Oryzias latipes: one gene and its partner. The protein of the gene in region 2 interacts with the protein of the main gene of each other region in a pairwise test. Links are inferred from orthologs where the notes say so. Each region holds a gene or a part of one and is shown on either strand. Other genes may lie near its edges. The genes, in order: dera and aldh16a1.

Region 1 (16,630 bases), on a different chromosome or scaffold from region 2:
TCTTTAGTTTTTTTTTTCATTTCAGTCACATTAAAGATAATTGGGAAACCTCTAAAAGCCCTTCTCAAGTGTTGTGTTCTGTGATGCTACCTTCACACCAGACATGTGATGCGTGTTCAAGAACACGGTAAAAGCGCATGATAATCTGGCAAATCTGGCTCCAGGCTTTTTCTGTCACAGCTCTTTTTCTTTCTTTATTCCGATAAATGAAAGACTTGGTGTCTTAGAATTCCAGCCAGGCACAAACCGCAATTATTCCTTTCTCCTTCATGATCAATTTTCAAACCGTTGGTAGAGTTGGTATTACCAAATCCAAGTCTCTGTCTGGTCAAAGTTTAAACTGGTTTAACTTTCAGCATGTTGAATGGCTGCGCACTTTGTATGTAGAGTCCAAAAACGGTCGTAGAAACTTGCATAGCGACACATAAAAGCATGAGTTTCAAACACGAAGGCCCGTTTACATAAACCTTTAATAAAAAAACAGGTGGCTTACTGTGGTTATCAAGAGCGATGTAAACGTAGCCTAGGAGTTCAGACATCAAACCCTACTGCACAGATTTACACTGACAATTACAAATACTTCATTTAAGTCTTCTTTCCTGTTCACAGCCTACCAAAGGATTTTAGGGTTTTCTCTTATCTTCCTTCACATTTGCTCAGATCAGCTTCATCTCAGTGAGTTTACAGTAAACCCAAACCTTTACACAAAGCTGTGATTATTTGGCCACGCCCCTTTCTTTATACCTAAACTGACATGAGATAATCCATGTCTGATTAAAAAAGGTTTACAGAACGCTCTGACATGAAGCGGTAATGAAGAGCGGAGTTGTGTTTGTGTGGCGCCGTGACACTGACCCGCCATCATGGCCACCATGCTGGCCTTGTAGACGTTGCTGAGGGTTTCCAGCTCGCCGACAGCCAGGATGGTCTTCATGTGGGCGTCGCCACAGGCCTCTCGGAACAGCCGGATCTCATTGAACATGGCTGGAAGACAACCAGAACTGAAACTCACCATCAAAACAAGACTCTCGGGTCAGAACCAAACCTGCACTTTACATATTCATGTCCACTCCTGCTGAACTGAATGAACACACCTGTGAGAGATGCAGGACGGGCTCACACTGTCAGCATTAGAAAGATCACTTCAATGCAAATGATGAAATGCGTTTCAAACTTTGCACATTTAAAAAAACTTGCAGCCTGGAAGACCTTCATTTTCTTTTGTTCCTCTGTGCTTCCTGGACAACCTCCTACAGATGGAACGTCTTCCTTTAATCAAGCTGGTCCCACAATATCTCATCAGACACATCATCACCTCCCAGTTTTCTGGGCTTTGGTCCTTTTTTCTGCTTTTTTTTTTTTTTTGGTCTGAAGTTCAGCCTGTGTGGCTCGTCTTCTAACAGATGTTCCAGTATTTTCTGATGCTCATCAGCATCTTTCTTTTGTCCTACAGCAGAAGTTTAGTGACTTGGTCCTCATCTGGTTTATGACTTTTATTTTTACCATGTCCTATAAAAACAGCACATAGCTCAGAGTAAAGAAAAAAACACACCCCATAATATTTCTACTCTCTTTATAATCTGATTCTAAAAGAACTTTTATTTTGGAAAACTGCTGGATGTTCTCCACCACACCCGACTCTTTTTTGGCGCGTCGCTCGGTCACGTGACGTAAATCAATCTGCTGTTTTTCTAAAGCGGCTGCGCCGATCACCATGTTAAAGCCTTGAAACTAACAAAGTTGACAAAAAATGAAAATACTTGGAGAGTTTCTTTTAGCAGAAAAGAGCCTTCAGTATCAAAATAAAAGAAAGCTGCATTTAACAGACAAAAACCAGGAGTCTTTATTCCTAATATGGATTTATTGTGACAGACCACAATAATAATGCAAAATAATTAGCAAATGGTTATGTAATGTTACGAGGATGCTGCTAATAAAGTCCTTCAACTGGTGGATTCATGTTTATTTTAGAAAATACCAACTTAATTGATCTTTTTTTTTGTATCCGTCGCACCTTAAAGGTCAGACAAGGCTGAAGTTGGCGTCTGATTTTTTAACTTCCACTTTGACGGGAATGGGTTAAAGGGTTAAATTCTAGATCAGATTTTAATGGTTCCTATACTAAATCTGGTGTATAAATAGATTTTAAAACAGCTGCCAGTATTTTAGAAAGGGTGAAGATTAACTTTACCCTCAAAAGTTAAGGAAAACTGGCAGCTAAAATAAAAATCAGACGCCGACTTAGACATAGGCTGGTTTGTGAAAATATTTGTGAAAACTAGTGGGTTGCCTACAAGGTTGGAGACCACAGCTGTTAAGGATGTTCCACCACCATGGTCAGTATTGTCTGATTCTGTCCACTTGAACTAACCGGTCTCAGCAGATGGTTCCTCTGACTGAGTCGAGTTCTACTGCAGGTTCCTTCCAATGTTCCATTTAGAGGGACTTTCTTCCACTGTCTCCTTTAGCTTTCTCAGTACAACCGTTTCCCCAAAAAACTCTCAATGAAAATGGCGGGTGACTTTGACAGAATTAAGACAATCTGGCCTCATTGGAATAGGATTATAACAATGAATGGCTAATGAAGCTTAAAAGAATCAGCAAATCCATCAGTCGTTTACATTCTAGGGTTTTGAAAAGCAGAAAAGAAACAGGAATTTCCTGGAATTTTTCTGTTGAATCTGAAATCTGATCTGAAAAAGCTAAAGGCATCAATCAAGAATCTTCTTCCCGTCTTACCTTCCCACTGCCCTGTGAGAGCCAGCATCCGGTTGATGACAATGTCGATCTCTGTGGCTCCGTCGTTCACCGCAGAGCGGACTTCCTGCAGGCGGCTCTCCAGCGGCGTCTGTCCGGCCGGGAAGCCGGTCGCCACTGATGAGCACAGAGCACGGGGTGACGCACAAACACACACTGCAGTTTGTGTTGGTCGACAGTTGTTCCAGGTGTTGTCGTACCTGAGGCAACAGGAATGCTGGAGTTTGCTGCTTTCAATGACCTGACGGCATCAGCAACACGAGAAGGATAGACGCACACTGCAGCTGTAGAGATTCCTGTAACAAGATAAGGGATGGACATGAACCAGTCTGTGTCTCCCTCTGCTGGTTAGAGGCGGTACTGCTCCCAAGCTGTTGTTATTCAGTACAATTGAAATGTCCTTTTCTTTGTGTTTTATAGACTAAACCAGGGGTCGGCAACCCAAAATGTTGAAAGAGCCAAATTGGACGAAAAAAACAAATATGTTTGGAGCCGAAAAATATTAAAAGCCCTATTTAAGCCTTATAATGAAGGCAACAAGTGCAATATGTGTCTATATTAGATATTTTAGCCTACTATCAAAATGACTAAGTTGCTTGAAACACATAATGAGCATTATTAACGATTAAATGTTTATTTGCCCTGCAGTGCATTCTGCGGAGAGCAACGCGTCACGTGACTGCTCTGTTGTGCAAGTTTAACTTCATTACAATATTAATGAATTATGTTTCATTGCTTTGATAAAATTAAAGAAATTTAATAAAGAAATCTGATTTTTGATCTCATTTTTAGTTTGAGGATTCGAAGACAAAACAATAAAATGGAACGTGCATGACGACGCTTCAAGCATTTGCGGCGCCTGGAGACTTTCATTTAGCTCGTTTAGATGGCCTGTCAGTCACATCCACCAAAAAGTGCAGCTTTTCCAGCCACCCAGCATCTTCCAAGTGCGGGTAGTTCAGGTCTTTGCTTTTCAGGAATGTTTTCACATGTTCTAAACAGACGACAAAGTGACAAAAAGCGTCACCCCGGAGAGCCATCGGACTTCGTTTTCAACTTCATCAAGCAATGCACGGAACTGACGGCAGTTCCATTTACATCAGCCAGCTGTTTAGCGGTCCGCTGAAAGTTAAAAAAAAGCCCCACTGGTAGCAACGTGTGTCGTAAGCTATGACGCACATCTCTGTTGACAGAAATGCTGAAGCCTTATAATGTAATGACCCAGCCGGACTGTCACCTGAGCTGCGTAGCAGCAGCTAAACTGGTTACCAAGAAACTTTTAAAGAGAACTGTCCATGCCTTAAACAACTCACAACCCAGCACAGTCTCAATGACATATGGCTAGCAGGACAGGCAAATTCTACTTCTCTGCATCAAGACCACTTGTTCCAGTGCTCACAATCAGCTCAAACAGCATGGACCTGACTTCAGTTCACAACACTCTTACTCAAGGTTTTACCCTATAACTCCCACTTCCCATGAGCCTTAGGGGGTGAAGGCGGGGCTAGTGGCGGTCATGTGCATTTTAGGTCTGTTAGCAGCGAGGGATTTTGGGACGCAGTTTCCTGATCTAATTAGGGCTCAGCATGAGCGTTTCTGTTTGCCCACGTTTCTTTTAATATGGGAGTTTTGTTGTTCCACCTTAGTTTATTCTTCCTGTTATGTTTGTTTCTTTTTGTTGGACCATGAGTGTGGAAGGGAGAGAGGTCGATCACTACAGTGCAATGTTCAACGTAATGCGTGTCAAACAGATTGGGATAAGTAATGCAGGAAAAGTGAGTATACTCTCGGCTAACCTCTCTACTCCCTCCTCTCTGAGTCTCTGTGGAGTCGTGCGACTTGTTTCCAGCGCAGACAGTTGATTGACACTTCAACTTGTAGCCAGATTGGCTTGTTTTCCAGCTGTATGTGACTTACCTGCTGGACATTGCATTATCAATTCTGCAAGCTCTTACAATGGAAAAAATAAAGACTACTTATGTCTTGTTTTTCCTCCTACAGAAACCATATTAAAACAAAACACATTTTAAAACATTTTTGAAAATGCTCCAGGGAGCCACCAGGGCTGCGCTAAAGAGCCGCGGGTTGCCGACCCCCGGACTAAACGCTTCCACTGATCAGTCAGATTTACAAATGTTTAAACATTAAATTTCCTCATCAGAACAGACGCTAAAATCATTTTTCCTCAAAGCAGCTCTGACTTCAGTGTATGTACTGTCTTCAAGAACTGGATCTCTAAGTTTCATTGCTAAAGGGTGAGACCAAAACAGCAGCACCTGATTAGGAGGCCATTAGTCCCCAGCAGAACTTTAATCACTGCTGCTCTGATTGTTTGACCTTTGAACTCGTCTATCACACCTGATTTAATAACTGTCTTATTTTCAGGTCTTTACAGAGCAGATGAGCTCAATCTGGTGAATTATCAAGGGAAAATGTAAAAACTGGATGAAAAACACTGAACTACAGCAACAGTCCACGGGGCTTCTTGAAGGGAGTTGTTTTCTTAAAGATCCACTCCCGCTTTTGCTGTTTTTAAACATGGTCTTGTGACATTTTTCTGTTGATGGACATATAGGAAGTAAATTCAGTTTAAAAAAATGCATTTCTAAGTATTCTTCAGATTGTGGTGATTCAGGAGCAGAAAAAAATGCAGTTAAAAATTAAAAAAGATCGTATTAGTGACGTAGAAAATATACTGGGTGGGGAAACAACCTTCCTGCTCCGCCCCATTCTGATGCCTCCACCTGCAGACAAATGGATCCATGAACGTCTTTGTTTTACTCGTCTAAGCTGAAATCAGGATCTAAACTGTACGGCTGGATTTTACTCACCATTTTTGTTGCCCTGCTAATGTTAGCTTGGGGTTGTGAGAGGCTGTAAGCTAGTGGAAGAGAGTGTAAACGAAGAGCTCTCAGCAGTGGGGAGGGGAGAGGGAGCGGGGTTGTCCCGGAACAACAATCCCGCCCACAACTCTGGGATCTAATGAACTCCTGCCGCTCTGCAGAAACTATGTCCTAGAAAATGATTTTAGCTAAAAATGGCGAAATTGTGATGAAAAGACCACTGGGAACGCTTTGTAAATAGATCAGAAGACGATCGGAGCGGGTCTTAAAAGGACATGTGTCTGGTTGATAACTGAGCACAAATGAGCAGGAGACGACCATCAAACACACCTGTCATCATAGGTATGAAAAGAGTCTGTAAAGGACATGGCTTATGTCTAACTCAGCTCTGTCACACAGTGACAGGAAGTGACAACACAAACCATGGACCATAGACTCAGTCGTAAAAACAGGTTTGTATCTGGTGGCGGCAAAACCACAAGGGAACACCTTAAGCAGTGATGAAAGTCAGGCAAGCAAAAAATCCCTGAACTTTTCTTTGAGCGATATGGCGGGCACAATGCGAAATTTTGGAAAAATACGTGGTCTTAGATGCATTCTGGTGCATTCTGGCAACTAGTTATCAAGAAACTAAGACTAATTGGAGCATCATGATTTGTCATTCAAACCCCTAGTTTGACTCTCCATTAAGGACTTGCTGGTCCTAAAAAAGAATTTGGAAAATTGCTCAAAGTAACACAATCCTACAATCTACGCTTTTCCTTAAAGCTGCAAAACATACAATTGCTAAAATATAGTAACATCAAAGCCCCAAATGGCAAAAAGAACACCAGTAACTATGATATTCTATGAAAATACCTCAGTTATTTATACATTATTTCTGCTTTAGAAATGACTGATGTACAACATCCACTTGCACTGTTTTCTCAAACTATAATTACATCAAAATATGGGATCTGCTTTAAACTATAATTCTATAACATAATACATCAATTCTTTAACACCAATACTAAGTAATCTGGGAAATATCAAAACAAACATAGTGTAGCGACTAACGTTGTTGGGGCTCTGTTAATGTGTTCTGTGTTACATCGTTGCTCCAGTGTGATTGGATGAGCGGGAGAATGGGCGGAGGAGCAGACAATAAAAGAGGGGTCGTGGGTGCATGAGGGGGTGGGGGAGGATGGACGCGTTGATGGAAAGTTCTCATTATCGTTGTGCTGTATTTGGCGTGGTTACGGCCGACAGTAACTGTTCCTAAGTCATTAAAAAGCCTCACGGTTAGAAACGGTCGCCTCAGCTTCATTATTGCGTCAGTGGGACGCTACAATACAAACTAAACTAAACATTGTAAACATTATTTTTTAAGGGAGTGCGGGTCCAAACCATCAAATACTTATAATTAATGTCAACTATACTGAACTAAATCATGGTAATTAGGAAATACAAATAAATTAGATAGAGAAATGTATTCAAAATAAAAACTGAAACTCAAAACTAAAATTGAAATTATTTCAAAATGTGGTTTTGAGATTATTTTACACAAAATAGTATTTGACCTACACTACCTTAAAAATCTTTTTTTTCCAGCCAAGACCACTTCAATTTGTTTTTTATCGTCTTCTCACAACTGAGGTCGTGACCACGCTCAATAATGACGATGCCTGCCATTATTTTAACACAAATTTGATCGCAAACTCTTCAGATGTGTTTGTGAAAGTTTAGCGTGGGTCCGCCAGTTTTGGTCTCTAGGGAAGCGAGTCACGCTGACCACGTGGTGCAGACAGAGCCAATCAGACCCGTCGACGCATCCGAAAGCAACTAAAACGTCCCGTCATTGGTCAATTAGGCCGGGAAGACGGAGAGATGGCCACGACCATAGAGGAAGCGATCTGCGGAGAAATATAGAAAATAAAGCTAAAATTAGCTGATTTCAGACCATTTTTTAATCCGGAAAGCGATTTGTCCGTAGAGATCAGGTCTTTATTTCCCGGAAAGTACGTTCGGTTTGCTCAAAAACCCGGATTTCCGGGAATTCCCGGAAGACTTTCATCACTGCTTAAGGAACAGGTCAGGTACAGAAATAAGTTAAAGTCAATGACGTCAAGTCAGTTATTGATCTATTTTCAAAGTGTTTCCAGTGGTCTTTTCATTATTATGATGTTGTTTTCGGTCAAATCCAAAAACCTGTGTCCTTTTCTAGGAAATAGTTTCCGCAGAGCGGCAGGAGCTCCTCAGAAATTCACCTCTGAGTTGTGGGCGGTACTGTTAGCACAGAGCAACACTTCAGATCCAGATTCCAGTTCAGATGAGGAAAACAGAGACATTCATGGATCTGTCTGACAGAATAGAGCGGAGCAGGGAGCTTGTGGCAGCCCATAATAGTTCCCATGTAACAACTACAAAAGCATTTTTTTTCGTCTGTTTCCGATTCTCAATGATTTGAATAAAGAAAAACTCAGAAATGCAATTTTGATCTTAATTTTCTTTCTACATGTCCATCATCATCATCACCAAAATCATAATTTTCATCAGAGTTGGACTTTAGTCAATTCAAAGTTGCCTCAGCATTTACCCGACAAGCTAATTATTATCATGGCTGAATTGTTTAGCATTGTGGTGGTAATAACAAGGATAAAAAAATGACCTTTATCATGCATGTCCATCTTCCTGAGCAGGTCGTGTCTCACTGGCTGGATGGCTTTCATGCAGAGTCGATGGACGTTGGAGGGCGTGTCATCTCCAGACAAGGTGGTCAGATCAATGCAGGTAACGGCCTTCAGCAGCCAGGCAGACTGTCAGCAAAGCATTAAAAACAGAGCACAAAGTGTTGGTTCTTCCATCTTCTCCCGGCATAAACACACATAAAGGGAAAGTAAAGAAGTGAAATTGTTCTGGATGGATCTCATTTGGTCTCCAGTGCGACTGTGAGGAACCTTAAAGACTTGACCCTCACTTAAATCAAGTTTCTAGAACTTTCTCCTTTCGGATTGGAAATATTTCTAAAATCCGAACGCCCTGTCTCAAAGTGATGCAGAAAAATGACCTCATGCATTTGTTACTTTAGGATTAAACGGCTGTGATTCTTTACTTTCAGGCTGTTCTCCAAAATGCTGCTGCCAGAGTTTATTGAAAATGGGTAGAAGGTCATATTTAACACATTTGAAGTTCTCTCATTTTGTCCTGTTTGTTCAAAATAGAGTAGATTTCAGAACTTGAGAGACTTCATAAATATCTCAAAGATCCCATATATTTACCCAGCTGAGCATTTTGTTCTCAGTCTGCTTGATTAGCCGTTTAGGAGGTTTCAGAGCCTTCAGCCGTCAGGCTCCTCTTAGACCGAACCAACTTCCTGTTTCTGCTCAGGAAGCAGATTCTTCCTCTCTGCTTTCCGCTAAAGCTGATAGTGGAGGTGAACCTGGGGTAATTTGGCCTTCTTTCCAAGCAGCCATTCATTTTCTGCCACATGCTAACTGGAAAGTCCAGCAGCCCCCCCTCTGTGGTGACCACACCAGACCCCACCGTGGGCAGGCAGGCCGGAGCTCATGCCAGAGAGAAAACGACACATATTCAAGCTCATTTTTGATCAAAAAAGCAGAAAACAGCAAAGACAGGAGAGATAAATGTAACGTGTTAGGAGTAAAGCTTTGGAGGTGTGCAGACTCACCTGCCACTGTTTCTTAGGAAGCTTCTGTCCTTGAATGCTCTGAGCCCTCTTCAGGACCGCCTGTGTGTTCACCCGCACTCTGGAGACCCATTCCAGGTCTGGTTCCAGGGAGGAGAAAACAAACAAGAAAGACAAGAAGATGGATCAATGCAAGCAGCTGGCTGCTTTTCATTTTACTTTGGGATTACTAAAGCTTCTATTCTATTTTATTCCATTCTATTCATGATAGATCATAATCGTTCTCCGAGTCTCATTTCTGCCTGTCCAGCTTCACACTAACCACAACAGTCCAGCACATAATGCAGATGTTCCTCCATACAGCAGATGGCAGTATGCTCTATTCTCATTGGTTGATCATCCGCCAATGAATGAAAGATGAATTGATGAATTATAGAAAAAAGGCGGGAAAAAGGTTTGTCTAAAAAAAAAAACGTCATTTTACTCAAACCAGATTTTGGTGTCAATGAATACATGAAATAATAAACAAAACAAATGTTTTGGTTCATTGACCAAAACCATTGACTGTATATAAGAACTGGACTGATTGATTTCAGTCACCCATAAAAATATGGTTTACTTCTGGCTCCAACTAAACAAAGTCAATTCAGTTGCCTTTTTTTTTATGATACACGCATCGCCATGTTGGAACCAGACAACATCAGTACACAGTGATTGGTTTGAGACAGTCTGAGTCATTGTTTCTATGGCAACCAAACTCACCAATCAGGAGTGCGCTTGTTGGAAGTTGACACCCCTACCACTAAATCTGTCAAACGTTTGATTGCACACGCTATTACTGAGGCATCTGATTAGTAAAAGTCTCTGGGATTTTGGCTTCTTGCAGCCAGCAGGTATTTCCTGTTTGGAAAGTCAGGGGGAGGGGTCACTCAGTCCAGTCCTCATACACAGTCAATAACCAAAACTGTAAAAAAACTAACTTTATTTAACTCAAAAGGGTTTTGTACGATACAGGGATTAACAGACACACATTGTCAGGTTCATCCTTCAGTGTCCCAGACATTTCCACCAACATGAACCATCTCTGCTTCCTTCAGGTCTTGTGACTCACAGTGTGACCAAAGTCAGGTCAAACCAATCAAAGACATTTCCTGTTAATTTAAACGTATTTACAGCATTCCTGGAGCCAAAAGAAAAATGAAACACACCCAATGCTAAGCTTTGAGCGAACACCAGACACCATAGGATAACAAGTTCTCATGTCTGGAACAAACATCAACTGCTTCTCTCCTCAGATGGTGCTCAATCAAACAAAGTTAAGACAGTCCAGTCTGGGTTTAGTAAGATAGACACTGTAAAAAATGTCACTGATGAAGAGCAGAGAGCAGTATATGATGCATATGATCCATAAATTCTTTATGTTTCAGATGCTACCTGAGTGTCTCAATCAGGACAAAGACCAAAGAGCTGTCTAAGGACACCAGAGACTAGATAACAGACCTGAACAAGGCTGGAATGAACCGATCTGCAATAAGCAAACTGCTTCATGAGCAATTTTTAGAAAATGATCTGGAGAACGGCCTAGAACTACACAGGGAAACTGGTGAAAGACCTGAAGAGGGTTGGGAGCACAGTGACAAAGGTTACTATGGTAACACACAACGTTGTCTTGGCTACTCCAAAAGGCAGCACATGTCCAGACCAGTCTAAAGTTCTTCAGAGACCATCTCAACGATCAGAGGAGGATTTGGTGACCATCTTCTGATCAGATGAGATCACAAACACCACCTGCCATGTTTAGAGGATGAATGCCGAGTTATTGCCAACAAAAAGGCACTAAACCCACTGTGAAGCACGGGGGAGAGAAAATCATGGTTTGGGTCTGTTTTTATGCAAGAATCACTGATCTGTATGAAGGAAAGGATGAATGGATCTATGGTGGAACATTGAGGAGGAAACGTGTCTGGATCTTCCAGCAGGACCATGATACATCAGAACACCGTAAACATTAAACTGACTTAACCTGCTGGTCAGTCAACCTTGTTAGTTACTCATTAAACCTCAGCGGCTCTCTTCTTTTTTCCAAAGGATGCAACGACGCCTGTCAGCCCCGCAAAGCCCGCGCACCGCAGCTCCGCCTGTCATGGCGACTGGAGCAGAGCTGCACGGAACCGGAACCGTGCGCCACAAACGCGCCACTTACCGAAGGCTGTTCCGGGATTCCTAGACGACATGACCAAGAAACTCAACTCCGACCCTCACGGCCAACTAACTGAGCGAGTCACGTGGACAGCACGGGGCTGTCAAAGCGCTACTTCCGGATCTGTGACGTAGGACGTGGAGCCGGACGGGGAGGGGTGTAATTAAAAAAAAAAAAAAAAGATACAGATTTTGGGTTAAAACTGTTTAATTCACAAAAATAATTATTATTTTAACATAAAGCAAAGAAAACTATTTTGGTTTCACGACTCTACTGATTTTATTTTGAGTAAATTTCACATTCATCAGAAAAGGTGATCAAACCCAAATTTAAACAATTATATCAGGAAATCAAAAATGACGGCTGTCAAGAGACTTAGCTTGTTTATTACTGTATTACGGAATTTGATGTAATGTTTTTCTTTCACCACTGGAAGGTGCAGATTTTCAGGTAATGTATGTTTTGTCACTACTGGTAATGTATAAATGACTTTAAAGTGAGTTAAGAACAAGATAATTGAAACTATGTAAAAATAAACTTAAATCATACGTTCAAAAAATTAGCTAACTATAGAATAGTCTATTTATGACATATTTGTCTATTATGATTTCTGCTTTGCCTGCGCCTGCCTACATCTGCTTTGCCAATATCTGCTTTGCCTTTATCAGCGTTTTCTACAGTGGTGGACAAAACTGTTGCTACCCCTCAGTTAAAGAAAGAAAGTCCCCAATGCTCACTGAAATGAATTGAAAGGTTCAAAAGTAACAAGTTAAAATTTAAAATTAAATCAGCCATTACTTTTGAGTTGTTGATTAATAGAATTATTTAAAAAAACAAACTAATGAAATAGGGCTGGACAGAAATAAAAGACTGAGAACTAAATGCCCAGGGGGCCATGATGAACTCAGGTATGTCCTTTAATTGACATCACAGCTGTTTTCAAACCTATAATAGGTCAGTCTGCCTATTTAAAGGGAGACAAATAGTCACGTTGCTGTTTGGTGAAAAGGTGTGTTCCACACTGAACATGGACAACAGCAAGCAAAGGAGAGAATTGTCCCAGGACATTAGAAATAATGTTATAGACAAACATCGTAAAGGTAAAGGCTAGGGATGGGAATCGAAGCCCCATGAAGCTCTCATGGGGCTTCGTGTAAATGTGCCAGAAAAATGAATGAAGCATTCGGGGCTTTGAAACCACACAGAACAGCGGCATCTGATGGGAGACAGGACGTATATCATCTACTCCACTAAGTTCCTTGCCCTTGCAACACTTCAGTGTGGAAATAAAACAAAGACAATGTTTGAAGATTTGTGAGAAGTGCTTGTGTTACATTGTGAATGCCATGTATAAAGTGAGAATGAGTGATTGTGAACCAGGGTCTAACATGACTGGGTGGGATACATGTTATAGATTTTTATTTAAAAACAGAATTTTCTCCACTGTGCTGGGCTTCAGCCTGTTTCGTCTTTGGCTGACGATTTCGCCAGCCTTGGAGAAGATCCTCTCACAAGGCACAGATGAAGCTGGTGTGCATAAAAACTTCATTGCCAGCTTAGAGATGTGGGTATAAAACCTTGTGGGTAACCCAGTATCTCAGTGGGTCCTCAGTCCTTGAGATGTGGGGTTCCTTTAAGTACCTAGAAGTAAATTAATAGCCTATTGTCATACACCAGTTAAAAATGAGCAGAAGTTATGATGAGGATTCTAATCTTTACTGTACCTCTGAACCTCCACTGTTGCACTGGCAGTTGTGCTGATCACCTGCTGTTGAACCCCCACATGCCTGTCCAGCAGGGCCCAGAGGCCACCATCTTCCTGCTGACTTGAAGGACCTTCTCTAGGTGGCGACTGTGGCTGTGCCTCTGGAAGTAGCGCCTGCATTGTTGCAGCACACTCTTTAGTGAGTCGCTCTATGGCCGTGTGGGCAGAGCCTTGGCTGCAGAACCCCAGCTCTTTAAACCTTGGGTCCAACAAGGTTGCCATTGACAGAGCAGTGACCTTCTCCAGAGCTGAAAACCTCTCATGGTTCTTCAAGTTAGTGGCCAGTTTTTCACCAAGTGGGTGTGTGATCTGACCACACCTGCTTGAGATGTAATGTTTCAGCATTTTGTCCATGGGAATGACTTTGGATGCTGACACTCGTTTTTCTGTCGAAAGCTCAACTGTGACCTCTTGAAACGGTGAAAGAACGCTCAAGCAGTGGTGTATGGCCTGGTAGTCCTCTTAGGTGAGTGGAGGAAGGTCCGTATGGAGGGTGGCCAGAGCTGCCCCCAGTGGCTCTCTCTCCTTAAACAGCCTTTCCAACATATTAAATGTGCTGTTCCATCTTGTTTCCACCTAAGATAAGACAGCAAGCACATTTTAAAGGAGAGAAGAAAGTAACACAATAAACAACTGCAAAAACTTGTGAAATCTTAGATTAAAAAAAAGAAAATGTTTCACCTCTTGTATTAATTTGTGCTCTGGCCTGGCCAGCTGTCGCTGCATCTCTGACAGCTTCTCCTTCGCTGTGGTGCTGGATTTAAAAAGACCGACAATCCTACGCCCCTTACTTCGGATATCCTCTAGTTCAGGGGTTTGGGCAAGGGACTTTTTCACCACCAAATTAAGCATATGTGCAAAACACATTATGTGCCGAAGCAGCAATATATTAGCACATGCAACCATGTTGGGAGCACAGTCTGTAACCAGGCCTGTCACCTGGAAGAAAGATTACATGTTCACAAATCATGTATATTAGGTAGTGGGAGGCCATATTGATGAATGATCTTGTACTTTATTGATCTGGCTCGCACCTTCCCTTTAATTCCCCATTCTTCCATGAGAAGATTTTTGGCCTCAGCCAAGTGAGCTGTAGTGTGGGTTTGGGGAAACTTCAGAACCCCCAAGACCACAGAGGCCAGCTCCACTTAGAATGAACAAAATCAAACTGAGATACATAAACCAAAGCATTGCACAAAGCAGGGGATACCTACCTCCTCGGTGATAAAATGGCATGTTACAGCCAAGTAAGCGTCCATGTTAATGGATGTCCACATGTCTGCTGTAAGGCTGACAGCAGAGGCCCTGCTAACCACATCTAAAGCCTTCTCCTTTTTGGCTTTGTACTTCTCCTCCACCATTCTCCTCAAGGCCTTCCTATTAGGAATTATGTAGGATGGGTCCAAAAGGTTGACAAAAGCCTAATAGTGACAAATAAAATACAGCTTATTATGTACACAAAAACATAAATAATGTAAATGCTATATAATATTAGCCACCTTACCTGGAAGCCTTTGTCTTCAACAATTGAAAATGGTTGTGCATCCATTACAATCATATCCACCAATGCAGAATCAAGTTCTTGCTTTCTTGACACTGCAAAATATACATATGAAGAAATATATTCTTATTACCAATATGAGGTGGATTGAAGGCTTGATTTGCCGACTGCGGAGTTTCAACATGATGAACGGAGCGGAGATGTCGCATCATGGAGGATGTACTATCATTAAATGCAAATTCATGTTTGCAAATCAAACATTGCACCTAAAAAAGAAATGGAAAGAATAAAAATGATTCCTTTCAACTGACAGACATACCTATAAAACTGACATAATCAGCAATGGCTACTAATAAAATAACGTTAGTAGTGTATTACCTTATTTGGAGAAATCAAGTTGAAATGATCCCAAGCCACAGAACGTTTTTTACCGGGTGCCATGACGTTGATTCTTACGATACACGGGAAACAACAGAACTGGTCGGGAAACGTTGTTTCACACGCCCTTCTGATCAAACACACCTGAAATCTCAAACCTGGTTCAGGTGAGTGATGCATTTGGCGTGTCATACGTCATCAATCACGTGATCTGCGCTGGTTGACACACGCTTCGAAACATTGTGCCGAAACACTCTGTTTCATGAAGGTGAACCGCGCGCCGAAGCCCCGTGTCAAACGGGCCATCCCTAGTAAAGGCTATAAAACCATCTCTAAGCAGCTTAAAGGGCCTGTGACGACAGTGGCACATATTATTCAGACGTTTAAGACCCACGGGACAGTAGCCAACCTCCCTGGATGTGGCCGGAAGAGGAAAATTGATGACAAATTGAGGAGACAGATAGTTGGAACTGTATCCAAAGAGCCAGAACAACCTACAAAGACATTAAAGGTGAACTCCTAGATCAAGATACATCAGTCTTAGATCGCAGCATTCATCGTTGTTTGAGAAAGAGTGGACTTCATGGGAGACGACCAAGGAGGACACCACTAGTGAAAGGAAATAATAAAAAAACGAGAATTGGAATTTGCAAAAATGCATGCTGACAAGCCACAAAGCTTGGATCTCCCCCTCTCTCCTTCTAATATTTCAACAAATTATTAAGTTATGGGTAGCGTCCAGCCCTATTTCAGTAGTTTTTTTTTTAAATAATTCTGTTAACTCAAACGTAATGGCTGATTTTGATTATTTACTTTTCAATACATTTTAATTTATTGTTACCTTTGAACCTTTCAAGTCATTTCAGTGAGTATTGTGGACTTTCTTTTTTTTAACTGAGGGGTACCAACAATTTTGTCCACCACTGTATATCTGCTTTCGCCAAAGTTCGCACCAAAGTTCTATCTTCCAATCAGTGGCCTTTAAAGCATATGGAGGGCAGGTGGTTATGCTAATGGATTCAGCAGGTGATGCCAGCTGCTTGGATGGACAAGAACCAGGAGCACAAGTCGGGAACAAAATGAGAAAAAGGCTTTCTTCTGGGTCGCAGCAGGAATTCTTTGAAGTGCTCCAAGTTCACCAACAGGGTCCAAAGAAAACGAACGTCTGTGGTTTGCCCAACAAAAAGTCTCCTTTAGTCTATAAAATCACATTTAACCTTTCACATTTCATTTTTTTTTCGTTTTAATATCAAAATATAAATTACAAAACATCTTGTCGTTTTCTCTCTACACTTGATGAGAGGCCGTTCTGGGTGGCTGGCTGCTGTGGTGTGGGTTGGGGGGTTTCTTGGCCTGGCCCCCAGGGTCAATGATGCATCCAGAGCAGAGGGGTAAAGGGGTTAATTTATTTCATTTAATTTTCATTTAATTTTGGGTTTCTCTGGGGAAAGGGTTTAATTTATTTATTTTGATTTTATTTAACAATTTTATACATTTATTTATTTATTTTTCTTTTATAGGTGTTTTTATTTTTTATTTATTTATCTATACATGGGGGGTG
Region 2 (16,630 bases):
TGAGTCAAAACTGACGCTCCACCCTCAGCTGAAGTGATGTGCAAACGTGGCGGTCTGACCCACAGCGATGTCTCACTGTGTGCAACCACCGCCTGACCGACCAGCTGTCAGAGGTCACCGTTACCAAACAGGAGAAATGCCCAAACACAGCAGGACCATCCAAAAACCATCTATAAGGATACAGATCTTTTAAACTGTCGGAAATTTGAACGGATGTTTAAAGCGTGTGGAACTCGAGTTCCACATGGCAAACAGGAAGAATTTTGTGTCGATTGGTAATTTCACACCTGACCCAACATAAATTACATTTGGAGTTCCCCAAGGCTCCCTCCTTAGGCTACTTCTATTCAACAACTACATGCTAAGAACAGCGTCATTGGTTACCATAGCGACGCATGGCTCTCCGTAAACACATCAGAGACAGGGGATTTGTTACTTTTGACACATTGTGGGGGGGGGGGGGGGGGAACTAAACAGTGTTTTTACAGGTCAATAAAAATTCAGAACTCTGCTGCTCGTGTTCTCATATGGACCAAAAAAGTAGAACCACATCAGTCTGGTTCTGAGGTCTTGACACGGTCTGCATGTCTGCCAGAGGAGAGACGTTAAAGTTCTGTTGCTGGTTTATAAACCTTTGAATGGTTTAGCACCAAAATACAAGACTGACCACCTGACCCAGTCTGTATCGGCCAAATGTCTGTGCTCATCTGGATCCGGTCTGCTGTCTGTTCCTAGAGTCAAACCAAACACGGAGAAGCTGCGTTCAGTTTCTATGCTCTACAGATCTGGAACAGACTTCCAGGAAGCTTCAGATGAGCAGAAACAGTTTATTTAAATCCAGGATAAAAAACCACCTGTTCTCCAGCTGCATTTGATTCAATCCAGTTTTTTTTAACTTTATTTTTATCATCACTCCTTTAATATTTCTGTCAAATGTTTCTAGTTTGGTGTAAAGACCTTTGAATTGTCTTTGTACACAAATAAAACACATAAAGCTGCTTTGCTACATGAGGGACCGTCCCAGGAACAGAACTTTATCAGGTCACATCAATAATTTACTGCGTAGCTGAGAAAGAACTCGGCATAACCCTCCCCTCTGAACAGGACTTTGGCACAAGATCCAAAAAAAAAACATTCGAAAACAACAGATATTTTCTAAGAAACTCCAAAGCCTGGGAAAAGCTAAAACGGTGTCACTTCTGAGTTGATTTATTTAGAAATGAGTGACATTTATAGGTTTAAACCTGAGAACCATCAGAGGATCGAAGGACTGTTTGTTCTGTTCTAAAGCTCTGAGAAGGACACGTTTCCATGGAAACCTCAGGTTGCTTCAGATGTCTTTAAACTTGGCCGTATTAAGGTTCATTTTAAGTTTTTTTTTGTTTTGTTTTTTTAAAGATAATTTTGAATTTTTTCATACAAACCGACGTGAGAAATACCAAATCAGTCGGGATTAAACGTTACCAAACCACTTATCTACAGTGATATGGTTGGACCGTCCAGGGTCAAAGGTTAGGCTGGTGTTTGCTGAGCTCAGCGCTCACCTGCCTGAGCACACCTGGTTCAGCTGATCCACCAACACTCAGAAAACAGTTAACAGGCAGCATGGAGGACCCACTCTGAGAAACAGAGCAGCAAAGACTTCAACACTTCTACAAATAAAATCCGACATTTGAAAGTGCAAATTCAGCTAAAAACAAACAGGGGCGTGGCTTTGAGGGAAAACCGCTGACACAAGAAAAAGGTGTTAATCTCGGCAACTTCTGTAGGACTTTTCTGGAAGACCGATGGCAGGACTCTTCATGTTAGCCTTTGAGGACATCGACCAGAAACGCAGAACAACTCAGAACAATTCAGACGTTTTTAGACGTTCAGATCTTCAGCACTGAAACTTTTAGGAAACTGTTTAAATTTAATTGGATCATATTTAGGTTTAAATGCAGATCATCTTTACAGAATAATGAATGTAGCAGCCCTGTCCTCAGAGCAGGATCACGGTAGATCGTCCTGCTGGGAGGTTTCTCTCACCCGGGCTGGACTTTGAGCGCTGCCTCCACGGCGTTTCGGACATCTTTCCGGCCTCCCTCTGGACAGAGCCCCAGCACGCCGCCGCCGCCCCCTGGTGATTGCACAGCAACACTGCAGCCAGACACTGATTTACAGGCTTTGCCCCCAACAAACTGCAGGTAGGACGGAGGAGAGCTAAGACAAACACAAAGCAGAGTCATTTCAACTTGTCCCTGGGCTGTTGTAGGATGAACAGACTGATTAGTAAGAAGCTTTTACCTGGCCGGGTCAGGAATGACTGCTGGTGACTCTTCTGTCCCAAACTTTGAGTAATCCAAGGGGACCGCGGATGAACGAATAGGAAGAGAGGAGACGGACGGACGCAGGAACTGGTACAGACCCTGACGGAAAAGACATGATGTGAATCAAACAGGATCCAGCAGAAAGCAGACGACTGTGTTTTCTACAGAGATCTTACTGTTGAAGTAAACAGAGTTTGAGTAGCTTAGGGCTGTGCAGGGCTGTATGTAGGGCTGAAACGATTCCTCGAGTTACTCGATTACAAAAATTCCTCGAGGCAAAAACTCTGCCTCGAAGCCTCGTTAAATTCCTATGACGCGCACTATACGCGCGGCGCAGGGATTTGATTGAGTCACACGGACCGTTTATTCACACGGACCTTTTAAATTTAGTTGGCGCGATGGCAGAGAATAGATCTATAAATTAACGGCAGAAATTGTCTTAAGTGTGGGATCATTACACACTTCATAAAGAAGAGAACAAGGTGCAGTGTCTCTACTGCAAAATAGAGCTGGCATACCACAACAGCACATCTTCCATGATTCAGCATCTGAACAGAAGACATCTGCGTGACCGCTGGAACCCCGACGCCTTAGGCGCGGGACCGGCGCGTGGCTCCGGCAGCGAGCGAGGGGCGGTGTCAGCCGCTCCGCGGCGACCAGCGCGGGCCGCATCGGCGGGCGGCGAGGGCCCCTAGCTGCGGTATTCAGGCGACCGGGCCTGCTTTGAATACTCTAATTTTTTCAAAGTAAACGCTTCGGACCCCGCGGGACACTCAGCTAAGAGCATGGAGGGGGCGCCGAGAGGCAGGGGCTGGGACAGGCGGTAGCTCGCCTGTCAGCGGACCGCGAGGCTTCTTTAAGCATTGCAAAAATAACAAAAGCATTATTTTTACACAAAATATAAACAATGATAATGATCAAATATGTTTTTCTGATTCTTTTATTTTTAATGGCCTTCCATTTTGGTGTTGTGCCACCCTTTCAAAGTCTTCTGCCCCCCATACAAAATGTTCTAGCTCCGCCACTTCTCAAGACCAACTTAAAAACACCAAAGTAACATTTGCATCAAAGCGGATCTTTAAAATCAAATGCTTGTTCATTTTACAACCACATCATTTTTGTTATGCATTATTTGTTTTGGTCGTTCAAAAACACACACAAGTCGTTTTATCCGATTACTCGCTTAATCGATCGATTAAGTGCTAGATTAATCGATTACAAAAAGAATCGATAGCTGCAGCCCTAGCTGTATGTTAGCGAGACAGCATGTAAACAAAGGGCTCTCAGCAACAGGAAGAGGAAGGGGGTCAACAGTCCCGCCCAAACTCAGACATGAGTTTATAACCAACGTGAGCTGTGCAGAAACTATGCCATGGAAAACGACACATGTTTTTGGATTTTGGCTAAAAACGGTAGACTCATAATTAAAAACCACTGGGAGAGTTTTGGAAGAGCTCAAAAGATGATGGGAGTGCGTCTTTAAAGACTCAAAAGCACATCTTCAGTCTCATTTCATGCATCTCCTCTGCTTTTCAACAACAGTTCAACTCTGAACGTGGGCTTAGCTCACGTCAGAGCTCCGATCCGTCCACCGCGGCTCACCTCCTGTCCTCCGTCTGTGCAGCTGCCGCCGTCTTTGTGAGCGCAGACGGGCAGACACGGATCCACCACCGAGTGGGAATTCACCCACACCGAGCCCACCGACAGACTGAGGAGGACAGCAAAGGTGTGAAGAGCGTGGCAGCTAACACACACACACTTCCCAGCTCCGCCCTGCAGGTTTCTGAGTCAGCCTCTTTCAGGCTCCTTGCAGAGCTGAATTATGGGAGCTGAGAACAACCTTTCAGACAACATCCAAGTAAAAAGCGAGAGCGAGAAACAGAAAAGAACGTTTATAAATTATGAAGCAGAAAAAGGGACAGTTGGACACAAAATGAAGAAAAGAGGGAAAGGAATCAGGGTTTAGCGTTTACTTCTTGGCGGTCTCCAGAGCCAGAGTCAGGTCTTCAGTCCAGATGGAAGCTGCCAGGCCGTGAGGACTGTGGTTCCCTAAACACCACAGAGGTCCACAGGTAAACCCACAGCCTGTTCTGCCTTTTCAATTTAAGCCAAACAGAAGTCAGGCTGCACGACTTTGGATCGCCGCCTTTAAAACTCAGCGTAAAACTGTACTTGGAAAGGGCCGATATCGTGCTAAATCAACTCTATAGAGTATTATCATGTCCCTTCCCCGACCCCAAAGTGGTATTTTGATCCATCCTTTGAGCACCAGCCCCTCCCAATCCATGAAAACATTGTGATGTCATAAAGTGAGTACCCGCCCCTTCCAGGAAGAGTCTGCGCGGCTAGCCCCGCCCCCAGGCTAACACACACACCCACTTTCTCCGTCGAGCTAGCGGTGATCAGCTAAACGCTTTCCTTTTTTAGGCCCAATATCTGAAAAGCTTCAAAGCATGATACAGGGCCCTTTAAAAAATGAATAATGACTCCAGGACATATACTGCCCCCTACAGGTCAATCATTAAATCGTTACAGTAGCTCAGTGTTTTTAAACTGTTTCTAAACAGTTTTTGAGCCCAAGTGTATTTTTCACTTGATTTAAAAAAGAAGAACACAAACCAAAAGTGTACTAAAAAAAACTCTTTATTCTGTATTCATTACTCAGAGTAAAACTTGGTTCTGGTTGGATGAACTCAGAGCTGATATCCAAGCAATGACCATCTTTCACTGGTTTAAAAACACTGCACTGGCTGGATGTGTACCGCCCTTTTGTTTGGGGTTCCTTCCCTTTTTTTGTTTCAATGTGTGGGAAAAGGAGGGGAAAATGCATACATTGTTCCGTATCACTTATTATTCAATATTGCTGCACTAAAATCCAATAAAAACTATTTTGAAAAAAACAAAAAAAAAACACAGCACTGGCTAAGAGGTTCAGATTTTTTGAACCACAAATAGATTTTTTGGGGAAAATTTACTCACAAATCCTAATATGTAAGTACATATACAGTAAAACTTTACAGGTTGAACCACAGTAAGGAAAAATAATGGGGGGGAAAAAGGAATTAAAAAACATCTTTTCAATCGATTTGTGCTTACACAAAAAGATAAAAGGAGAAATCTAGATGGAAAAAACTCAAACAAACTGAAGAGAAATAGACTTAAAAATGAAAAGAATGCTGTATAATTACTTTGAAATATACCACATATATGAAGAACTAAATACTAACCTTGAAATTTGGGGTAATTAACATGTTTAATATATTTTTACAGCATTTATTATTAGATTAAAAGTATCTACACTGATTTCTGAATCTGTCAAAACCGGCACACATTTCTGAGAAGCTGCAATTCTGCGGTTCTGTTTTATGTAACGTTTGGAGCAAAGTCCAGAGCGGCGGTGGCGGCGGTGGCGGCGGTGCGGCGTCCTTACCCACAGCTACTGCCTCTTTGTGACATCTGAAGGTCATGAGCGGCAGCAGAGGTCCAGGGGCCGGGCTGACTACACACGGCGAGGCGGGGGCCGCCCCGCACAGCACCGTGGGAGGATACAGAGGCCCCGACGGGGGGGCGGAGCACGACTGGATTAACTACAAAGAAACAACAAAAGAAGTCAATACAATCATTAAACGTTGCTGATTTGTATAAACAGAGTTTAAAGCAATAGGGGGGGTCCAAAGACAGTCAGATCTGGCAGGGTGAACGCTTGAGAGCCCGGTTTTCAACCGCAGTTCTATAATTTTCATTAACTGAACATCTTGGGGGAAATGGAGAACTATAACAATTTTTTACTTTTTTCTACTTAACATGAATGTTATTTTTCCAAATTGACCGGTGAGCTGCAGATCTGGATTATTAACCCCCCCAAATCCAACCTCTCAATGCTGAGTGCCAACCAGGGAGGCATTGGGTCCCATTTTTAGAGTCTTGGGTATGAGTCCTTGGCCTGGATTTGAACTCACGACCTTCCAGTCACAGGTTGGACACCCTACCACAAGGCCACTGAGCTGGTGCAACTACAGTAAAAGAATACAGGTCCAGGGTAGATTTAAGTTAATCATTGCCCACATGTGGGCATGTAGACGGTACATGAGAACTGGACTGAGTGGCCCCTCCTCCTGTTTGGCGTTCCCAACAGGAAGTACCTGCTGGTTCCAAGAAACCAGAACCCCATAGACTTCTATAGAGAAATAAACAGCAATTGCTCATCCATTCTATTGGTCAGAATAAGTAGATCTGATACCTTTTATTTACATGTTCTTGATTATATGAATATATAAAAAAAATCAGTAACACAAGTTATTCAAATTATAAACTAGCAGATCAGATGCCTCAGTAAAAGTAAGTGGTCTCACGTATGACGTTCGAAACGTTTGATTATCAGATTCTCCCGAGCTTTCATTGGTAGGGTTGTGGACTTCCAACAAGCTCCCTCCTGTTTGTCGAGAATGGTTGCCATAGAAACGGTGACACAGACCGATTCAGATCAATTACTGACGACGTCTGGCTCCAACACGGCGGCATCAGTATCATGAAAAAATGCAGAATGAACCGAGCTGGAAGTAAATCATTTCCCATTGATAGCGCCACACTCACTCACTCACTCCAGTTCCTTTATACAGTCCATGCTTGTGTCCAAATTCATTCCCTGCTCACCACATAGTGCACTATGTAGCGCGTTTGCCGTTCTGCAGTTCTGTGCGAATCTACAATTCCAAAATCGTATGCCCTAGAAATTTCCCAGAAGTCTCTGCCAAAAACCAGTGTGCATCAATGCTCACTAGATCGGTGAATTTAGACCACAATGCATTGCGTCTGAACAAGTTTTGCCCAAAAAATGCATTTAAATGTATTTTTTTTTTAAATAAAACATCAACGTTTTTATCTTCAGAAGACAGTGGACTCATAAATAATCATCATAAAACGCTCATATTAATTAGATTTTAACTTCGTGAAATTGATGACGTCATATCCACCGTTAAAAAGGTATTGATCATTGCTTTTTCAAATTCAGTGCACTACATAGTCCCACACTATATAGTTTTTTAGTAGTTAGGGGTTAGGGTGGGAATCCGGACAGCACCAATGCTTGGGCCGCACCTCGGACATGTCTAAAGGTTCCTGACTCACCGTCGCCCCCTGCTGTTGAGCTTCCTGCACTGCGGTGTCCACCAGGCTGCGGTCAGCCTCACTTTGAAGGGAAACGCACTTTAACCCGGCCAAGCGCAGCTTCAGACGATCCACAACGTTGTCGCACACGCTCTCCTGCACGCACAACACCCAGTGCACCTGAGGGAAGAGCGCAGAGAGGACTCTGGAGCAGACTGCAGCTGGAATCAGGCGAACATCCCATCCTTTGCTGCATCACCTCACTCTTCTTCTTAAAGGCTGCCTCTATCACTTCGTCCACAGCGCTGTTTATGTCCGCCGACTCAAAGATGATGAAGGGACACGTGGCCCCAACGCAGGGGGACACGGAGACGGGAACCCCCATCCCTGCTGAAGCCTGAACCAGCGCCAGCCCGTCCTGGAGCACAGAAACACCCGTTAGACTGTAAAGTCAGCTCCATTACCCCCCGGCTTTGAAATGTCACACACTGGCTTGCTGCCGCTGTAAGTGACGTAGCAGATGCTGGGATTCTGGGCCACGTTGACGCCGAGCGTGACGTCACTTCCTGTTAGAACGTTGAGAACCCCAGCAGGAAGTCCCGCCCCTGAGAAAAGCTGCGCCAAGAGGAGAGCTGGAGGGGCAACGCTCCGCCCAGGAACAACAATCACAGCGTTACCTGGAAATGAGAGAGAGCAGGAGTCTGTAACGCCGAAGGCGAAGGGAGCGGGGCATGTAGGCGCCTGGGACTCACCCATGGCGAGCGCTGGTACGACTTTCAGCATCAGAGAGTAGACAGAAGAGTCATCAGAGGTGACAACGGCCACCACACCTGGAAAAGACGACAACGAAGGTGTGTCAGAGCGCCGTAAACCACGGTAAAAAAAAACCACAAAGACTCACCAAGAGGCGTCCAGCCGGAGAGGAGCGTGTCCCGGAGCTGAGCCCAGCTGCTGTAGAACTGCAGGAGCCTGATCAGGGACGGAGGCGAGCACGCCATCGCACAGAGCTGGGACAGCTCCGACAAGCACTGACCGTGCAGCCCCAGGACGCCCACCAGCCTGACAGCAGAGGACAGGAAGGTCGTGAGACGAGCGGTCCACACGGAGCAGCTCCGTGGAACGGCGTTGGACAGACCTGAGCAGCACTTTGGCTCTCTGGTAGCAGCTCAGGAGGCTCCAGGACTTGAATGCGCTGACAGCAGAGGCGGCGCACTGGGAAACGTCGGCCTCTTCGGCACACAGCACGCCGCACACCTGACCGCCTGGTGGGTTTAGGAGGAGGAGTTTCCTATGGCCGCCAAAAAACCACTAACAGGTTTCTGTTCATCGGTCGGCGCTCACCTTTAGAGTCGAGAACGGAGAGGCTCCTCCTTTCTGCCAAATGAACAAACTTCCCATCAATGAAGAAGCCCAGAGAGCGGGAATGATGATCCAGCCAGGCCTGATCAGGAAGTACAGAGGACAAAAGCTTGTTGGGATCCCTCCTACTGTCTCATTCATCCAAAACATGAACTCAGAGGAGCTGTAATCTGTCCCAATATCTGTCCTCATCTAGGATTATGTTTCTCTGTAATCACACTCAAAACTAAGTCAGCCATTTAGTATTGAAATCGCAAAAGAACGACTCCATATGTTTATGATTATACAGAAAAAATTACATTTAAATACAATTAAACACAATTTTCAAATCAAACCAACCGATGCATTTTTTGTTTGTCACCGTAAAAAGATAACCTCAAATAAAAAAATAAGAAGAAAAAAACACTTAAAAGACCAACATTTTTTTAGTAATGGTCTCATGATGGAGGACTTACATAAAAAAAAAGAAACTTAAAATTGCATGTCTGAGTATTTCTTTACTCAAATCATGGTGAATCAGGAGCAGATGAAAAAAACAGCAACGGGGAGGGGAATGGGGGGGCGGGGTTGCTCCACACCAATGGACCCGCCCTCAAAATTTCTAATCAACTACTGCCGCTCTGCAGAAACTATGTCCTGGAAAGCGACACTAAAAAGATGATCAGATGATCAGAGTGGGCCTTTAATCAAAAGTTTGATGCATTTAACAATACTATAGTTTTACAGTCAGTTCATTTAATATTCATGTTAGAGATGTTATGGAATTACGTCTTTGAATTAGTTTGGTCACATTTACTGTATGTGATATGTTCATATTTCTGCTAACTCTTTAGAATGAAAGTGGCTTCCACATTCTGTATTAAATATGTTTTTGCAGTCGCATCTGAGTCAGCTGAATTAACCATGTTGATGTGTTGAATTCAAGACTATTATTATGAAGGAATGGTGCAACTTTAACTATTATTAGATATTCTACCAGGTGCAAACAAGACAGATCTAATTTTATTTTTTGGATCAAATTGTGTAACATAGAGCAGATGAACAGGCTGATAAGACTATAGAAAGGAGACATAAATCAAAACTCGAGCCCAAATTCATTGGTGGGCTGGATGCTGCCCCCTGCATTGGTGCTTTTTTGGTGGAATCTGTTAAAAATTTACAAGCAAGAAGAGCAAAGTGCAGAACTCAACATTTGCAGTGAAAAACTACAAGTAAAAAAAGACGAACCTGCAATCAGTTGTATTTATCTAACATGAATTTAATAGTAACTGATGAGACTTTATATGCTGGTCGTAATACAAACGACAGACTCATGGTTACAATTATTATATAAAAGTAATGTATAGATAACTATTTGTACAGATACATCTGTAAAAAGCATCAGCAGTGTATCTCAGAGGGATTTTCAAGGATTCCGTTTGGTTTAAAGGGTTTTCCTCACATTGTATAAATTTAAATTTGTGCACTTATTACTTACATGTGTGTACCCATAATGCATCATTCCATACCGATTTCAGGAAAGAAAGAAAAAACACACAAGTCTGCAATAAACGTTAAAACCTCATCTCTGCAACAATCCAAAGCTGTCAAAAAAGGTTCCAGTTCAAACCAATAACTAGAGTGACTTTATTTTACTATGTTGTAAAAAATAAAATAAAAGGACAATAAAAGGGTTCAAAGTTAAAAACTCAATAAATGTTTTAGAAAAACATGAAGTAACGTTAAGTTGAAACACATGCTCCACTCGTGGGTGACTGTCAGCTGAAACGTCGCGTGTTCAGGCGGGTCTAACTTAAGACTCCCGGGAGGAAAACGTACTTTAGCGGGTTGTTTGACACTTTACCTGTGCGGTGGCTGCGGAGGAAGGGGCAGCGGGTCCGCTCTCCATGCTTCGGAAAATGTTGAATACTGTCTCGGTGGTTGGACCGGCCATACTACAGAGGACTAGTCCGAGTGGAGCACGAGGCAACTCGCCGGTTTGAGGTGCTACTCAGATTTTTAAAAATGTCAACAATAAATAAAACTGTTGTCACGTTTGACATACAGATATTTTTTTTAGCAGGAGCACTCCTGAGATGTCACATGGACTACAAGATGCTAGCTTCCCTGCGCCAGATTCTAAGCTCCTCCCACCAACTTCCGGTCCGTCTCACACGCTTCATGCAGTGCGACACCATGGCGTTTGTCGATGCACCCAGCAGTTGGGTTAACACCCACTTAAATGACTTTTTATTTATGTTTATTATTAAATGACGTTTTTAATTCAGTGACTGACCACCGCAAGAAGGTTGATATTCTTCCGGTCGATAATTTAAACAGTAACACTTATTAATGTTAGGACACACGTTATAAATTTTTTTTTACCACAGTGTGAAACATTTCAGCCAATTTTGCTGAATAAACTAACTAACTAACTAGCTACCAAATATGATATACCTAATATATTATAATAAAATATAATTTTAACCTTGCTACTAATATGTACAAGCTTTTTTGGATAGAGTCCTACTGGATCTATGAAAAAATGTATCTTCTGGTTTGAAGTTATTCTCTTTAATTACACAAAGTTTTTATTTTTTATCACTGATATTTTGTATTTAACTTAAGATTTGGGCAGATCATATTCTAATTGGAGCATCGATTAAATTGCACCGGTTAATTATTTGAATGTAATTTTCTATCAGTAATTTCTTTTGGTTCATTTGAAAGACTTTATGAGTTTAAAAGAATGATGATCAGTTGTCACAGTTCATAACATGAAGTCTTTGAGTGTGTCGTATGAACAGGGAAGTGTTCATCTTCTGTTTTTGCTCTGTTTAGTTATGCTCAATCTTCCTTAGTTGCACCTAAAATTTTGTTTAACTTTATTTGTTTTGCCTTTTTGTAATATAATTTTGGAAAACTTCACCCATAACTGTTAAAATGTATCTATCCATCCTCCTCCGCCCATCTGGGACAGGGCCGCGTGGGCAGCAGTTGAAGCAAAGATGCCCCGACTTCCCTCTCCCCAGCCACTTCCTCCATCTCCCCAGGGGGGGACCCTTTAACCCTTGTGCTATCCTATGGGGTCAAGATGACCATTGACGTGTTCTCCCTACCATGACAAAGGTGGATAAAGGTGGAAAGGATTTCATGTAATCCATGGAAACCAGTGAAGATTGCAAATCATAGAAGAAAAAAGGTTCAGCGCACTGTCTAGTGGGTCTAGATGACCCAACTCCCAATGTTACAGTGTCTAGGATAACACAACGGTTAAAATTGGAACCAAAAGGCTGCAGAGAAACCCAAGATGCCCAAGCCCATGAAAGTCAGCGCCTTCTGTGTTTGTGGAAAACGCTAATGTGACATAGTGTTAGTATAAAACCTTCAACATAGAAAAAAATAAATAATAATAATATCAAACTTTTATTTCAGACTCAGGTGGTCCATAGGAAGAAAAGAGAATAAAATAAAACATAAGATACAAATACAGTATTTATAATAAAAAGTAAAAAGATATAACTTAAAAAGAGTATAATCGCTGTATCCAGTGTTTCCTTAGGGCAGAAGTGTAGCGGCATGAGCTTCTTTTGGGATCAGTCAGAGACATGATAATTGAGTTCTTAGATTTGTCCAGGCGTTCCATGAGGCTGTATGTAAGCTTACGCAGTAGAGCTTCACAGGTGGGGATGTGAGCGTCCACAAACAGCTGACTGGCTCTGTACCACCTGGGCACCTGTAGCAGAAGCCTAAAAGCATCATTATAGGCCACTAAGAATTTGTGGAATGTCCCACGTCCATAGTTCCACCAAAGAGGGGCCGTATACAGAGGAGTGCAGTAAGATCTGAACAGCGAACACTTCACTTGAAGAGAACATGCACTGAATTTTCTCATCAGCATATTTGCCTGAGCATAGAGTTTACAGTACTGTCTCTGAATGTCTCTATCAATATATCAATAATATATCAATAATAACCAGGGCCTAATTTTACGTGTTTGTCCTGGTGCCTAATGGTTTGAGCCTTGAGGAAGAACCAGAAAAAACTCACGATGTTAAAAAAATGGCTAAAACTAGATGGAAGTACACCTTATATAACTCAATGAGGCAGCGATGAGGTTAAATGTTCAATGATCCTATAAACTGCATAACAGAAATATCGTTGTTTTTGTTGGAATCTGTTGCTTTAATTCCTATTACCGGTACTTAAAAATGTCTTGTTTATTTCTTCAGTGTTCTTTACAAAGTTATTGGATTAAATCTATCAGTAGGACTTAAAGAATATTGAACAAGCTCAATGGTATTAAGAACTGGCCGAGCACCTTTTTTTTTCAAACCTTCCTGTGGAGAAAGTATATTTCTTCCACCTGTGGTCAGAGGGTCATGTCAGGGTTGCATTTTGTCAACTGCACTGTTAAACCTTTAATAAAATTTAAATTCAGGTGAATAGTTTTTGATACTCTAGTCTTAACTGATGACTTTGTGATCATATCTCCCTCTAGTGCCGCCCCTCATAAACTGCCGAGGATATCTTTAGGTCAATGACTTCCATCGTGTGGTTGGTTCTATTCAAACAAAGAAAGACTAAAGATAAAAGTCTTGAATTTCTTTAAATTTTTGGATTACTTGTTTGTTTGTTTGTTTGTTTGTTTGTTTGTTTGTTTGTTTGTTTGTTTGATCAGGGCTTCAACAATGTGCACAGGACTAAGAACATTTTAAGAGATGTAATGGTGAAACTCAAAGCCATGTTTTAAACGACATTTAATGCATATTAATGTATCATGTTAGATACAATATGTAGTTTTCTACATGCATACATCATTTAATATGTTTCTGTATATGTTATTATTTACAGAAATACACAAAGTGGATGCAAAAACAACTTCTCTACTGGCTTCTGTTAAAGCCATGTTTGTCACTTATACCTATGCTTTACTGACTCCTTGCTTATTTACATTCTCTGAAAATGTCATTTAAGGATCTTGGGAATTCTATAAAGTTGGATTCTTCCCGTGTTTTGGGGAAAATTTCTGAATCATTTTTTGTCCGTCTAAGCTATTTTGTAATTTTCCTACTTTTATTTAATTGTATTGTTTTCTTAACTTGTTTTGTGGGAATATTAAGTCTTAATTATTACAGTTTTTTTTCATTTATGTATTTTTATTTACCCCGGACACATTTTATGTTTTCTAAATTGAAGGGTGGGGAATGAATTAATGGACGGACACGTGCACCCGGAGCTATTTTGACAGCGTACCATCAAGAGGCAGCGGAGATCGCGCCGTGAGCACAGGGAAGTGCAGACATTTATACTTTCCATTGACCAGCGGAAAACCTTTCCAGCCGCGGCTTGTTGCTGAAATAAATGGAACCGTAAACGAAGCGGCCTCAGAGATCTGGATAATAAGCTGCCCTTACAGAGACGCCACATCGTTGAAAATGCCGCGGAGAAAGGTGGGACAGCATCACGTCATAGCTAATGTTAGCCGCGCAGAGGTAAAAATACACGCCTGTCGTGTTCAAGGGCTGGGGGGGCATCTAGCTTTGTGCATTTCAGTTTGCAGATGTTTAAATGATGGTCTGTGGGATTATAAATACTGAACGCTAGCTGGTGTGTTCTTTTTTAGCTTTTCGGGTATTTTTTTTTTCTTATGTGGAACTCAGTTCGATGCTGTTTCAATGCCCTGCTTTTTGAGATTTGACTGAAAAAGGGAGAATAAGGGGGAAGACTGGCAACCGTTGGGAAGCTGCGATAACGGTTGCTTGTCTTAAAACAAGGGAACAGGCTGTCTGGTCCAAAACAACGCTGTGATTGGTCAAAGTCAAACTCTGCTGTGCGCCTATTGGCTGGTTCCTGAGATCCCGCCTTTTTTTGAGTTTAATTGGCGGTATGCAAATGAAGCTCATCAGCTCATGTTTTGAGGCTGTCAGATGTGCACCTGAAGCGCTGCAGCGAGTCCGTTTGAAAAGAAATCACGCAAATTAAGACATTAAAAACCTTTTAATTATGCTGTTTATGTGTGTGTGTGTGTTGGGGGGGGGGGGGGGGGGGGTGACCAAAATGAGAAAATAAAAAGTTCTGTGGCAACTTTTTCTTTTTTTTAAACATACACCTCATTCTTCTTGTTTTCCAGAGGTTAGAATATTTTCTCAGTTGTCAATTTTATTAAAAACAGTAGCTGGGCTCTACTGCATAGTGTTGCCAAAAGTCTCACGATTTCCAATTTTGATTAAAAAAAACTATATATATATATATATATATATATATATATATATATATATATATATATATATATATATATATTTACTGTTCAATAAAATGATGAGTTTAAAGTGGGGGGACTTTTATTATGGATGGAGGGGGTCTTTTCTGTAAGTTACAAGAGAGACGTCATCATCATAATAAGCTGAAGATAACTTTTTTACATGTTTATATTGATGTAAATGTAATTTAAAAAATGTGTGAATGTGGATGTGAAGAAGTACCTTTAATAGTATTTTTTCTACTTCAAAAAAAATATTCATACAGTAAAACGGCTCATTTTCATTTGTTGCCTCGAGTCAACGCTGTGCGTTTCAGGTAACCCAGTGTATTAGCATGTGTGATCATAGTCGATGGTTTTTTAACTTCAAAATCTACTCACCGTCACAGGAAATTGACCTAAAACCCTTTTATGGAAGGAGACCTCTGGAACTTTTAGTGAGGGAGACTCGCTCAGAAAGTGATGACAGCGAAGTTTCATTAAAACGGGGAGGAAGTGGAGATTTATGAATCAGGTTTGAGGGACAGTTATGAGCTCAGGGTTCAGCCAGGGATCAGTTGGAACAGTAAATGTGTGTCCCTGCATGCATACTGGTCATATAGCCATTATTTCTCTCGAATACATTTTTCTTTTTTTTCTTTTTTAGCATAAAAAGCCATTTACACCTCTGTTTTACACGCCGGTTTCAACTGTGTCCTGAAATTCCACACCGCGTTAAGGTGATGAACCCTCAAGAAATTTCATAAATACAGGATTTTGGATATATTTGATTGTTTTGATGTTCTATGAAATATTAACATAATTTATTTGCTGTGTGTTTGGTCCCTAATGTTTGCTGTTTTGTAAAATTCAAGTACAAAACAATTGATGATTGTCTGGTTGAAGCAACAAACCAAAATCTGGTTGGGGGGAGTGATCAGTTTTAGGAGTGATATTATATTAGGGACCCAAAGCTGCCTAAAAATAGGGTGATTTACATTTTGCTCCCAAGATGAGAAGGTCATGCTATAGAGGGATATCCAAGGATTGATTTGAAAGCATCGCACCTGTACTCTGCTTTATTTATTAACAAATGTGTGCTAAACCCTTTTTTTTGTGGCATTAAATAATTTTTAGATGTGAAGGTTTTATTGTGAAGTTCTCACACAGGATGGGTCCATGGGGGCTTTTCTGAGGGGGGGGTGTTAGTGATTGGGTTTGATTTTATAGATCACACAGTTGTGACACGTTGCTGCTGAACTGGAAACAAAAAAAGAGTTAAAGTCAGAGAAAATCGCAGGGAAGGGAGCTAAATGATGCAGGATGAATCGCTTGTCACTTTTAAAAACACATTATTCATCTGTTAGAGTTGTGTTTTTAAGGCCTGTAGGAAGGCATTGCAGTTTAGCGAGACGTTATCATTTCATCATCATCACTGTTCTGTTTTTGTTAAAAATGTTTTTTCTTAACGGAAGTATTTTGAATTTGGGATGGAAAACAAAAATGAGATATTTAATCACGTCTAATCCTGTACTTGTGATCGATCTAGTTATTCTTTTGTTCACACCTGAAAGCAGCCGCGTCAAATGAAAGCTTCTCCCTTTTCCCAGAGAACGGCCGGGAGCAGCTCAGACGG

The links.
Region 1: the proteins of aldh16a1 (region 2) and dera interact in binary tests that used the Homo sapiens proteins (3 or more experiments, as listed by UniProt). The link is inferred for Oryzias latipes from reciprocal best matches to the Homo sapiens genes ALDH16A1 and DERA.

Annotation. Positions count from the first base shown.
Region 1 is NC_019881.2:11,374,102-11,390,731, reverse strand, and holds the start of dera (deoxyribose-phosphate aldolase), read right to left. Parts: upstream 11,561-16,630; 5' UTR 11,460-11,560; coding exon 11,429-11,459; intron 9,366-11,428; coding exon 9,268-9,365; intron 8,396-9,267; coding exon 8,248-8,395; intron 3,054-8,247; coding exon 2,958-3,053; intron 2,875-2,957; coding exon 2,740-2,874; intron 985-2,739; coding exon 856-984; intron 1-855. UniProt on the Homo sapiens protein: Catalyzes a reversible aldol reaction between acetaldehyde and D-glyceraldehyde 3-phosphate to generate 2-deoxy-D-ribose 5-phosphate. Participates in stress granule (SG) assembly.
Region 2 is NC_019866.2:23,298,831-23,315,460, reverse strand, and holds the start of aldh16a1 (aldehyde dehydrogenase family 16 member A1), read right to left. Parts: upstream 10,919-16,630; 5' UTR 10,708-10,918; coding exon 10,618-10,707; intron 8,857-10,617; coding exon 8,757-8,856; intron 8,678-8,756; coding exon 8,551-8,677; intron 8,475-8,550; coding exon 8,317-8,474; intron 8,246-8,316; coding exon 8,168-8,245; intron 8,093-8,167; coding exon 7,905-8,092; intron 7,834-7,904; coding exon 7,675-7,833; intron 7,596-7,674; coding exon 7,437-7,595; intron 5,897-7,436; coding exon 5,740-5,896; intron 4,359-5,739; coding exon 4,283-4,358; intron 4,018-4,282; coding exon 3,912-4,017; intron 2,409-3,911; coding exon 2,287-2,408; intron 2,203-2,286; coding exon 2,029-2,202; intron 1-2,028. Other genes in the region: histone acetyltransferase KAT7, read left to right, coding at 14,192-14,248, 16,605-16,630.